3 linked regions of the Macaca fascicularis genome follow. The protein of the gene in region 1 purifies or fractionates together with the protein of each later gene. This does not show direct contact. Links are inferred from orthologs where the notes say so. Each region holds a gene or a part of one and is shown on either strand. Other genes may lie near its edges. The genes, in order: RNF146, CHD1L and HLTF.

Region 1 (4,011 bases):
TCATCGCCTGCTAAAAATTAGCTGAGAAAAAGAATAGGTCATACTTGGAAACTTCAGACAAAACTCATTTCAACTAAATGGGGTCTGATACTTTATTTTAAAGAATCACTTCCCTTTAAGACGTTACTATGTGGCAATCTACTTACTGCCTTCACAATCTTTATACTAGCGCATTAAACCCTTTAATTTTTCTCAAAACAACAAAAAAGTGGGCTTTGCATTTTATTTCAAAACATGAGATGTAAAAGTGAACAAATACTGTCTTTTAATCATATCACACACAGATGTTTCTTAGCCAGCAACGATTTCATAAACAAGGAAGCTCTTTGGCAAATTATCTGTGTGACCTTGGTCAAGTCAAAAGACCCCCAGTCTTTTGTTATCTCATCCTACTGTATAATTCTGTAATTCTAAGTTCTAAATGCTTTAATTAGCAGTCAGTTAACAACACTTTGGATTTGAATTAACCCAAAAGGTCATACGCCACAAAAACTAAACACAGTCCATAAGTAAGCACAGGTGGTTGTAGCCAAGTGTTACATAAATTGGTTTCTATATCTACAAAGATGTTGTTCCACAAATTCAGATTCCTCAGGCACAAGGCAACCAGATAAGAGAATGGAAAAGGCTCAGTACCTTCTGTTACTAACACAGGAGAAAAATACGCATTCGAATTCCTAACTGTCAGAGCTGTTAGATGTTTCCTGGTAGTATATGGTTAACATATAAAATAATACTCTTTAAACAGATCGATATTGTGAAAACAACATATTTAATATCCTTTTCTTCTTTTAACTCAAAATATCGTTTTGGATCCTTTTTTAAAAAAGTCTGTTCCTTTCCTCTGACAATTTTAAGTTGGTGGAGACTGAAACAAAACACTTTGTAAGTTGACATCTCCTTTTAAAAAAAGTTAATTTTTTCTTTCTCTTGTCTAAAAGACCAGCTATTTGGAGAAAGTTTTCCTGATGATTATAATTCTACCAAGTTTTGAACAACCAGCGAAGAAAAAAAAAATATTTAAATGTATTTCCATTCTGCCCACATGACACACTGGCCCATTTGAGACATAAATTCTAAATGAAAGATTGGACTGAACAACATCCTCCACTCTAAGATATACAAGGCACCAAAACAAACACATCCAAAATCTATTTTTAGAGTGGTGTTTCACTCTTCCGGTTTTCTCTTTAAAACGAGATTTACTTGACCTATTTTCAAGTGTTTTTAGGGCACCCAGGCACTCTATACAAACAGTATTTGCTAGTCATAAAACAGCAAAGCAAAAATCACAAATCCTGGTATTAGTGTGGGACATTTTCTCCATGTGTCCTTACGTGCCATGTCTTTTAAAAGTCTAAATATAGATTCACTGACTAAAATGTCCTAAGTCTTCCAAATTCTATAATTATATACTGGATTGAATGCCATCATACGTTCACATCCCATTTGAAAAGTACACACACGGGGTGGGGGTGATGCGCCCAGTACCTGAAACGTCAATCATACAAAGAACAAAGCGTTCCCTATCTTTGGGCTTTCTTCTCACCTCAGTTCTACATTGTTTCAATATTACAAAAATATTAAACAAAATGTTCAAAACTTGAGATATAAGTGCTCACTAAAATGGCACTTGTAGAAAAGAAATTAAAACGTATACCAAAATGATTAACGATAAAAAATTCTAGTTGCCAGGATGTGTGTGTAAACTTACAGTCCTGTAGGTTTTACCTGTGGAGAGGACGGTTCCTTCTCCACACTCTTAAAAACAATTTTACATTCTTTAGAAGCCTTCGCAAAATAAATAGCGACAACAATGGAAGACCGACACTCCTCTCATGGGATGGAGGGTAGGAAGAGAACTCCCCACCCAACAAACAGAACAAAGCAACAGTCTCAGCTTTCAAGATGCACAGAGGGTTTGGAGGCTCAAGGGATACTGTGAGATCTCTTAATTGTTCCGATGCTTCAACAGCCGTCAAAACAACTAACAATATGCAGCGCTGGGCTTCACTAGAACAAGGTGCAGGGATTGCTCTCTTCGTATTAGCCAAGACCAAGACACCGAGGAGGAGGAAAAAAAGGAGGAAGAGAGAGAAGAGAAAGCAGCAGCCAGAGACACTCCGGGAAAAGACAAAAATGCAGACTGTACGCCCTGGCTTCGATCTGACCCAAGGCCTAAACTGTCTGACCCCACACGGGAAACAGGGAGCAGGCTACTGTCGAAAAACCATCGCCGCCCCTACACCTCGAGGCCAGGAGGTCCCCGGGTAAAGGCCTGAAACCACGGCCCAGGGGGAGGAGAGGGACCCGCCTGCCACCCGAGGCAGCGACGCGGGCTCAGGCGGAAGACGCTGCGCAGTAATGGCCGCTGCTCCGCCCCTCGCACCCGGACCGAGACCAGCTCCGGCCGTCACCTAGGGCAGGGGCTGCGGGGCCCTCGGGCAGCGCATGGGCTGTCACGGTCGTCTTGCCTGCCCCAGCAGCCAAGGCGGGGGTGGTGGAAAGGGCTGAGCTGTCCCATCCCGCCTCTGCGCGGACAGCCGGGGCCGCGCCAGCCCAAGGGCGTCCATCTACGTACCGGCCCCTGACCCCGCCGCCGCCCCTCTCAGGCCCCGAGCGCAAGGCCGACCCGGAGTACGTTGCGGCTGGAGGTGACACCGCGAGGTATGCCTCCTGTCCCCGAGTGAGGATCCTGGAGTGGCCGGCGTTCACCCTGCTCCCCCGAGAGGGCCTCGCTCCGACTCCCACCTCTCCGGCCACAGCTGCGGCCACCTCGCAGTCTTTTCTCTCTGGCCTCGGAGCCCGCAGCGGCCGGGAACGCGCGCGGCCGTCACGTGACCACTCGGCGCGTCACGGAGGCGGGGCCGCGCGGGGCGGAAGCCGTGCCGCGCACCCGCGAGCTGGCTCCGGCGTCTCCTTTTTCTGTCCCTGCATCGCTTCGCTGCCTTCCCGCACTCTCTTGCTTGTGGGGACCGGCGACTTCCCTGCTTGGATTCTTCTGGCTGCTTTAGAGTGTGCTTTAGTTGTATTAGGGCCCAGAGGCACTGAAAGAATGCAGTTCCAGCAGAGAGAGGTTTGGGGTGGAGGAAGTAAAACGTGTGTAGGCCCGGCAGGTGGTGCTGCTCAAAAATCCAGCTTTGCTATCCCGAGGAAGCCCTGGGGCGCCTAGCTGAGTTTCGGCTTGAAGATCCCTTAGCAAAAGTACTGCTTGTTCCACTTCAAGAAAAAAAAAAAAAGGAGGGTCGTGGGCGGGGATGGAGGGCAGAGAGTACTTTAGGACTTTCCAATTTATTCACCTTTTTAATGGTTGAGCAATTTAATACGGGAAAAAATTGGTATTTTATTTTGAGCCCTCCCCTTTTTAAAAAAACAGAATAGTGCCTGAGAAACTGAAGAAAGAAATTAATCTGCGTGAGAATCTAAAATTAAATAGGTTATTTTGGTCGCAAGCCTGTGGTTTTAAACATCAGACCTCTAGCAGTAATTCACCGTTTTAGCATGTACGTTTCCTTTTTCAGAACTGATAAAATTTTCCTAATGTGTAGGAAAATGAAGAGGGTGGAAGAGCAGACCTTTTATCTTTAAAAGAGTATGTATTTCAACATTCTGTGACAGTGTCTTCTCGCATTTTGGGATTTCATTAACTGATTCAGGATTGGAAGTTTTCAGTGCCCTTATAGGTATAGAAATGTATATGTTTTCTGTTATTCCCCTGAAATCAGTTTATTTCAGGGTTTTTATTCACATATATTAATATGTCAACCAATCTCTTGAAGGGTGCATCTAGTTCAGTGATGCTTGTGCATGTATGCAATACTGTTTTTCTTATAAGTTCTATACATGTAGAAATATTGAAGTGTATATCCTTTAAGCTTAGTTTTCTATCTTTATCTTCTTATTAGCCACTCAGTTTTGTCCCTGTATCCTACACAGCCCAAGAACAGAGAATCGCTAAAATTTGATATGTACTCGAAGATTCCAGCTTAAAGAGGTAATGCTAGTATTAAC
Region 2 (4,018 bases), on another chromosome or scaffold:
ATCAAGCACCACAGAACAGGCACACCAAGGAAGTATCTACCTCCATGACCTGGAAGCCAGGAACCAACCAGGAGGCCACCATACCGTCAGCTCCAGGAACCTATCAACCGTGGTAACAAAATGAATGCTCTGTACCCACCCAGAGACCCATGAGGTAGTAGCCAAGAGGGAAGCAGAAAACCCAAACCCCTCTGAGTCCTTTCCCTCACTTTCCCCTTCCAAATCTCCCACAGTCATGTGCCTGGCTAAAGCCAAGTCACATTTACAACCAAACTACGGTGGGGTTTGGGAAAGGTAGTCTTTAGTTTTTTAACCTCCAGATGTAGATTCTTTTGCCCTTCTGTCAGGGAGATGACAAGTAGTGAAACAGCAAGCAAAAGAGCAAGAAGTAATAGGTCTGCATATTCCAGAAACAAAAAGGTCCTAAGGTAATTTCATGATCCAAAGATGAATATCCAAATGTCCATCAATATTGGTAACCAAATAAACATTAAATTAAACAATACAATAACATGTTAACTTCTGAAATTAGAAAATACTAGTGTTACTGAGAGTATGGAGAAATAAGCAAAAATTTTGCATATTCTTTATTCTAGAAATAGTACTTTTCAGGAATTAAACGTCCATAGCTATAATAAATACTTGGTTACAAGGATATTTATTAGTGTTACTTACAATAGCAAAAAAAAAAAAGAACTTAAATAAATACCAAGAAGAGGGACTGTCTAAACTATGGTACCTCCATATACTGAAACACTGTAACCATTAAAAATGACGTTGAAGAAGACTGAGTGATAAACAAAAAAAGTTATGATTTCCCAAAAGCATGTACATCAAACTCCATTTTTGCACCTTCCCCCTCCACCAGAAAGTAAAGGAAATTATACAGGATAGAGAACATGTTAACAGTAAGGAGATTATGGAGATTAATATTTATTTCTTTATGCATAGGCTATTTCCCTGAATGTTTTACTGAAAATATGTACTACTTCTGTAACCAAAAGAAAAAAAAAAGCAGTAAGAATTTTTTTAACCAACTCATGAAGAATAGTTTCTCATAATACTAGTTTATTCTGGTAAATAGAAATAGAAATTTCAGGTTATAATATTCAGTACCTATTCCTTTGACCCTGCTTTTTTGTTTTCCTTCTCTCCACTACCAATTTATCCAAGCTGCCACATTTGCCTACTTAATTCTGAATTTACTCACTCCATTCCATCCACTCAAACTTGCAACCTCTTGTCTCCTCATTTTCACTAAAACACTTGCCCATATGTACGTTTCTCCCGGCATATTATCCCCAGCTAAGTATCAACTGGCACACTTTTCTGAGCCCTCTCTCACACAAGTTCTTAAAGAACCATTCCCAACACTTGAAAGGAAATAGGCAAACACCACAAACATCAACTTAAGATAAAGTCAAACATAAAAAGACCAGTCGACAAGCTCGTACTTAAACTGCATACATACTCCTTACAGCCACAAATTCTTACAGACTCCGGGAATCAAGGAGAGGTCTTTCTCTTTCCCATCTGCATCCTCTCCATTCAACTTCATCCTTCTCTCTTCTAAGCTGAACACAGAACTGCACCTTTTGTTTCATTCCTAGAATGACAAATCTCACTCTTTCATGGTATTGAGCAATTAAGTTATTGTTTATACTTTTAAATGCACTCTCACTAGTCTAAAACTCTAGGTAGGAAGGGTCCATATTTGTTTAGCTCATCTCTGTAGCCAATGCCTAAGAATACGCTCCCAGTAGCATTTAATCAGTAATGAATAAACGACTGTATTCTTATTACTGATGCACGATTCTGTTAATACAAAGCACACACTACGTTCCCCACTTGTAAATAAGGAAAACGAGGCTGGGGGTTCAGCGGCGAGTCAGCGCAGACCCGGGAAGAGGGCGGGGTCTGGGGCTGCAGTAAGTACCGTCAGCAGTGCAGCTGCAGGGCTGCGGGGCCTGCAAGGTTCGCGCTTTGCAGACTCTCCGCAAGGGCTAGTGTCAATAAATCGAGTTACGTGCGGTAGTGAGCGGACAAGCTAAGTTGGCATATAGTGCGTGGTTCAGTCAGTATTTATGAACGACTCAAGACACAAAAATAGCTTCATAAAACAGTGCTTTGCTTGAGTCTGTCCGCTCACTACCGCACGTAACTCGATTGGGAGAATTAATCAGTGGCGAATTCTCCAATAACTGCGCGCACACAGTAAAAGGGGAAGCTGAAGCTGGGAGATGAGTTGATCGTTTTACAGAAACAACCAATAAACTCCCCAAGCCAGGACCCAAACCCACTGTAACAGCAACGGGAAGCCTAGCATCCTTGGTGCACCAGGCCGTCCAACTCTTCATCGGAGGCCTGCAGGTGGCGCTGATCTCACCATGTTTCCCCTCCACAGGCCGGGGGCCGGGCCTGGTTCCCGGGACTGCGACCTCATTCATCCCGCGTCCGCCGCCCCGCGCGCCGCGCAGGCGGGGGACGTGGCCAGCAGGCCCGGGCGCGGTTTCTCTCCGCCCACGGCAGGAGCGAAGGAAGGCCCTGGCGCCGGCGGGTAAACAGCCCACAGGGCGGCCCACCCGCTGCGCCTCCGGCCCGCAAGAGGCAGTCCCAACAGGTTGGCCCGCCTGGGCGAAGTCCGCCCGGAGCCCGCTCACCTGTCAGCCCCCATTGCCGTAAGTCCTGCTCCTGCACCCGCGCCCGCGCAGCCTCGGCTCGGCCCTCAGTATGAAGCCGCAGTAAGAAGCCAGGCGCTTGGCCCCCGCGGCTGGCAGCGCCCGCGCGCTCCATCAAGCCAGTAGAGGCCCCGCCCCGCGCGCCCCTGCGTGCAGTTCCCTCCCAACCTCCCAACGCGCGGGGGCGAGCGGCGGCGCGCTGGGGCCCACCTGCGAGCGAGGCGCCGCCAGAGGGCGCGTCCTGCCATGATTTCCGGAGAGGAGCTGGTGCAGTTACCCTCTGACTTAGGCAGTTTTTGCAGTGCGGAGTGGAAGGGCCGCCCAGTTCTCACTAGTTATGCTTCTGAAGCGCTAGGCGTCTGATCACGCGCAGGGCGTCTGGTTGCCTGAACTGCCCGTCAAGGAGGTGGCATATGCTCTTCATTCATTTATTATTTAATCAATATCGACTATCATGTGTCAGATACTCCGCTGGGCCCTGGGGGTTGTAGAAGTGAGAAGGACTTGTTCCATGCCCTCCAGTGATTCATGACAAGATCAAACTGTCCTTGATCGGTTTACGTTGTGATAAGTTGGTTTAGTCCCTGAAATCCATTTCTTACTGCCTGTGACCCGTAGGCCAAAACTGGGAACCTCTGAATAGTAGTAAATTAAAATCACCAAAGACGTCATTGTTGCAGTGGGTATCTCGAGTGCATTATGGCGAGCAGATTGGGGCCATGTGTTCAGTGACTCAACATCAGCTTTGAGTGGATTTATCATGTACTACATCACTAATATAAATATGATAATAACAAAATAGCTGCATCTATTGATGAAGTTCTAGGTGGTGTCCTAAGGGCATTAAGTATGTTTTCTTATTTAACCCTCACAATAACCAATAATTAGATGTTATAATTGTCCTCACATTGTAAATGAAGATATTGTGACTTGTAATGGTAATTGGCAGTACTGGTACAGGAATGATATTATTCTCTGGCTAATGTCATTAGAATAGTATTCTCATTTAGGTTAATCTTGGTGCTTCCTTCTTCAGTAAACTCATGTTAAAGTTGCACCCTCCATTATTTTCATCTTCCCCTAAAACAAAAGGGAGAAATTCGTTCTGAGCTACAAAAGGGATGACTTCAGTTTGGTTTATTCATAAAAACTCAAGCAAAGCACTGTTTTATGAAGCTATTTTTGTGTCTTGAGTCATTCATAAATACTGACTGAATCATGTACTATGTGCCAAGCACTCTTTATGGTACTGAAGATAGAGGCCACTAATCTCCTGGAGCTTATATTTTAAAAGGAGGAGAAGAGCAATGAATAAAAATCAGGTAGGATTAATGCTAAGA
Region 3 (4,165 bases), on another chromosome or scaffold:
TGGCACGGCGGCTAACGCCTGAAATCCCAGCACTTTTGAGAGGCCGAGGCGGGCAGATCACCTGAGGTCAGGAGTTCAAGACAGCCTGGACAACATGGTGAAATCCCATCTCTACTAAAAACACAAAAATTAGCTGGGCGTGGTGGCGGGCGCTTGTAATCTCGGCTGCTCGAGAGGCTGAGGCAGGAGAATCGCTTGAACCCGGGAGGTGGAGGCTGCAGTGAGCCAAGATCGCACCATTGCACTCCCGCCTGGGGGACAGAGCGAGACTCCGTCTCAATAAAAAAGAGAAAAAACAGAAAAAGAAAAAAGAAAAGAAAAGCTGACCACCTAGTATTATTGTGTTGACGGGCGTGTAATGTGGACCTCTCTGTGACGGGCAAGTATTCTCTGGCAGTTACACGGCACCGCCTGTGCAGATCGGCGCCATCACCGGCTTCCCGCCCTGTGCGATTAAAAGGCCACCTTCGGGGACAGCAGCCTCCTCTCCATCCCCAACGCGCAGGGACCAGCCCTGATAGGCGTGGGCTGCAGCTGGTCCAAGGCTGACGGTCCCAGGGCTGCATTCTCCTTCCAGTCACCTCAGACTCTGGAAAGCGAGCCGTGGAGGGCCTCAGAGCGCCCCTCTGCAGTTCCTTGGGGAAAACAAGGGTCTCCCCAGCTGGGCTGGAGCAGCCACGTGCCCACTGGGAAAAGGGTCCTGTCCACCATTTCCGGCAAACGCCCCCATAGCTGTGATAAACATGTGATGGCTTTCCTGTACCAAGAAAGGAAAATTTTCCTTAAAAATAACGAAAAGAGGTGGGGAGGGGACTCTAAGTTCCATTTAAGATTTTCCAAACTCGTTGTGTCTCATCCATACGCTGAGGCTTAGCATGAAAATTTGGAGCGAAAGTCCCCAGGGTTCACCACAGGGAATGAAACAAAGTATCTCGCCGGTAGCTCCAGGTCTCGTAAACCGTGGAGCTCCTTCAGTATAACGCCCTATTACGTGCCACATTAGATGAGGAGGAAATAAGAGGAAGGATACGGTAGAGGCTTTAGAATGGGGTTGAGTCTTAGGACTTGTGGGGTAAAGGAAAGTCGTTTCCCTCCGTTTAAGGCAGGGAATCAAACAAAACGCCGGCACCGCAGGCACCGCAGTCGCACTCCTGGGGCCTCGTGGCTTTCCCGCGCGCCCGCCTTGGGGGCGGGGAAGAACCCGGATGGAACCACCCTTGCAGCCGGGACCCCCCGCAGTCTTTGAATGGCAGCGGGGCGGAGTTGCCCTCCCTTCTGTGCTCTGATTGGTTTGGCTCCGCACTCTTCTCTTCGTGATTGGGCTTTCCTAGTGCCAGTCACAGAGCGACGCTGGTCTCCCAGATTGTTGCTAGAAGGAGACAGCGTCGACGTCTGACTAGACTCGCAGCGACTTATCTTTCAGTCGTACGCTCCTTATCCGGCGCTCGGAATTTGTTCCCGGCTTCAGGGCTGCGGGACCTGGAACGAGGCGTATCGAGGCGGCTCGAGAACGATCCAGGGGAGCCGAGGCGCTCCTCTTGTCATCCCACTCAGCGCCATGTCCTGGATGTTCAAGAGGTGAAGGGGGCGGAGGGGGTGGGGCGCTGGGGCTAAGGGCCTGGAGGCGTCCCCAAATGAACCTGACCTTCCCCGCGTTCCTCCACGTTCCCCGGGCGATTTGTGCAGCTGTATTCGTTCTGTTGGTCGCATATGTGGCCGCGGGAGAAATAAATGCATTGTCTTGGCTGGCGAGTAGGGGCTATTAGGGCGAGTCTCGTGTTAGGGACTTGGGAAATCTCTGTCACCGACTGTGGGGGGCCTGGGGCTTAAAGCCTCTCGGCCCATGCGTTATTCAACAAAACATCCATTAGATACCCACTGTGCGGCAGGCATTATGCTCGGTGGAGGGCCGAGTAAGCCAGCCGTTGTCCCCAAGTGGCTCACAGCTTATGTGTATGCACAGACGTGCAGATACGTATTTGCAGAGGAGCTAATAGAGAGAATGCGCCACTTGCAAGGAAAACGCAGCGCAAATAAGCGACTGTTCTTAGGAGAATGGAAACTTTCTGCAATGCTCCAGTAGACTTCCCCTCACTTTTCATTGTCCAAATTGGTTTTTATGGTCATTCCCGAAACAGTTACACGTAACGGGTTTGGGGTAATGCTTAAACCAGCGACGGGAGGCGGGTACGGGTGGCTTGGGGCCAATTTCCCACGGTGGCGTGGCTTAGATACCAGAATAAAGTAAGTGTTCTGCTCGGAGGGAGTTACAGTGATGGATGCTGGATGTATTTTCTGGAAAATTATAAACAACTTCGTATACAATAGTAGTTGTATTTTTGTAAGTCTTTTGTAGCTGAATCCCTATTGAAATTTTGGCATATAATTTTATTTTTTTAATAATTTATATTTTTGAGATGGAGTCTCGCTCTCTCGTCCAGGCTGGAGTGCAGTGGCACAATCTTGGCTCACTGCACCCTCCGCCTCCCGGGTTCAAGAGATTCTCCAGCCTCCCGAGTAGCTGGGATTACAGATGTGCGCCACCACGCCCGGCTAATTTTTGTATTTGTAGTAGAGACAGGGTTTCACCATGTTGGCCAGGTTGGTCTCAAATTCCTGACCTCAGGTGATCCACCTGCCTCTGCCTCCCACAGTGCTGGGATTCCAGGCGTGAGCTACCACATCTGGCCCATAATTGTATTTACAGACATCATATACATTTCAGTTTAGATGATTTTCACTAGGAAAGATATTAGTGAGCTCTGACTAGGCTTTTCATTTTGAATTCCTAGGGGGCAGGTAGAAGAGCCAATATTGAAAACAGGTAAAGTTCCCGGGAAGCCTTCTCCACTCACTGCAATTCCTGCTTTAACGAGAGTAACTAACTATTAATCTTTACTGTGATTCCCATGTAAGATTTCATTTGCTGAAGTAAAGCATGAGAAAACCACTCATATGGTCTTTGGAAGTACTTAAATACTGTTTTTCTTTGCCTTTAAAAAAAAAATAGGGATCCTGTTTGGAAGTACTTGCAGATTGTGCAGTATGGAGTTCATGGAAATTTTCCACGCCTCTCATATCCAACTTTCTTTCCACGTTTTGAGTTCCAAGATGTTATCCCTCCAGATGACTTCCTAACTAGTGATGAAGAACTAGATTCCGTTTTATTTGGAAGTTTGAGAGGTCATGTGGTTGGACTACGCTATTACACGGGAGTAGTGAGTATAATAGTAGATAACTAAATTAAATTTTGATTATATTTGTGGCGTTAATCTAGAAAATAAGAGAATTAGCAGGTGATGTGTACGGTTCATCTTTATTTTACTTTAAGTTAATGAAATATTTGTACCCCAAAAATAAAAAATACCTCAAGTGACCCTCCCACCTCAGCCTCCCAGAGTGTTGGGATTACAGGAGTGAGCCACTATGCTTGGTCTCAGTGCGTTATGTTTAGTTATTATGGGTAACACCCCGCCCCCACACCCCAGTGCCTTGTTCATGTCATCGATTTGTTGCAAAAAGGAGGTAGTTTTGTGAAATCTTCTGGATTTTATTCTTTCATTTCTCCGTATGTTTCTTACTTTTAAGCTTCTTAAATCTTTTTTATTTTTGGGTGTCTGAAGCATGTTCAGCAGGAGATTCCTTGGGAGTTTCATGTTCTGGATTTGTTTTTCTCCTATATTTCCTTTACATTGGAACTTTACAAGTTGTTTTTTGATTGTCTGAAATGTGTTGTCTAGGAGATTCCTTAGGGAGAAACAGTATTTCCTAAGTTTTTGTCATAATTGTGGCATTTTATGAATGACAGTTTCATAAAATGAAAGTTGTGAAGGACTTAATGACAGTTGGGCTGAATTTAAAATCTTTGTAATATATAGTTTCTCTCCATATCCTAATGTTGTATAGAATTTTCAGGCCAGTGTGATTTTCTCTTTCACTTAAGAGAATTGGATTTTTTTTTTTTCCCTTTTTTTTTTGAGACCAAGTTTCGTTTTGTTGCCCAGGCTGGAGTGCAGTGGCCTGATCTGGCCTCACGGCAATCTCTGCCTCTCAGACTCAAGCAATTCTCCCACTTCAGCCTCCCGAGTAGCTGGGACTGCAGGTGTTTGCCACCATACCCAGCTAGTTTTTGTATTTTTTTTTGTATTTTTTTGTAGGTTTTGGT

What was found.
Region 2: the proteins of RNF146 (region 1) and CHD1L purify together in Homo sapiens (co-immunoprecipitation; 3 studies listed by BioGRID and IntAct, counting the BioPlex papers as one, with this or other methods). This does not show direct contact. The link is inferred for Macaca fascicularis from reciprocal best matches to the Homo sapiens genes RNF146 and CHD1L.
Region 3: the proteins of RNF146 (region 1) and HLTF purify together in Homo sapiens (affinity purification with mass spectrometry; 4 studies listed by BioGRID and IntAct, with this or other methods). This does not show direct contact. The link is inferred for Macaca fascicularis from reciprocal best matches to the Homo sapiens genes RNF146 and HLTF.

The regions. Positions count from the first base shown.
Region 1 is NC_088378.1:31,213,258-31,217,268, reverse strand, and holds the start of RNF146 (E3 ubiquitin-protein ligase RNF146), read right to left. Parts: upstream 2,813-4,011; 5' UTR 2,582-2,812; intron 1-2,581. UniProt on the Homo sapiens protein: E3 ubiquitin-protein ligase that specifically binds poly-ADP-ribosylated (PARsylated) proteins and mediates their ubiquitination and subsequent degradation. May regulate many important biological processes, such as cell survival and DNA damage response.
Region 2 is NC_088375.1:112,993,188-112,997,205, forward strand, and holds the start of CHD1L (chromodomain-helicase-DNA-binding protein 1-like), read right to left. Parts: upstream 2,812-4,018; 5' UTR 2,794-2,811; coding exon 2,661-2,793; exon of another isoform or gene 2,442-2,660; intron 1-2,441. UniProt on the Homo sapiens protein: ATP-dependent chromatin remodeler that mediates chromatin-remodeling following DNA damage.
Region 3 is NC_088376.1:51,897,919-51,902,083, reverse strand, and holds the start of HLTF (helicase-like transcription factor), read left to right. Parts: upstream 1-1,360; 5' UTR 1,361-1,558; coding exon 1,559-1,578; intron 1,579-3,010; coding exon 3,011-3,218; intron 3,219-4,165. UniProt on the Homo sapiens protein: Has both helicase and E3 ubiquitin ligase activities. Possesses intrinsic ATP-dependent nucleosome-remodeling activity; This activity may be required for transcriptional activation or repression of specific target promoters.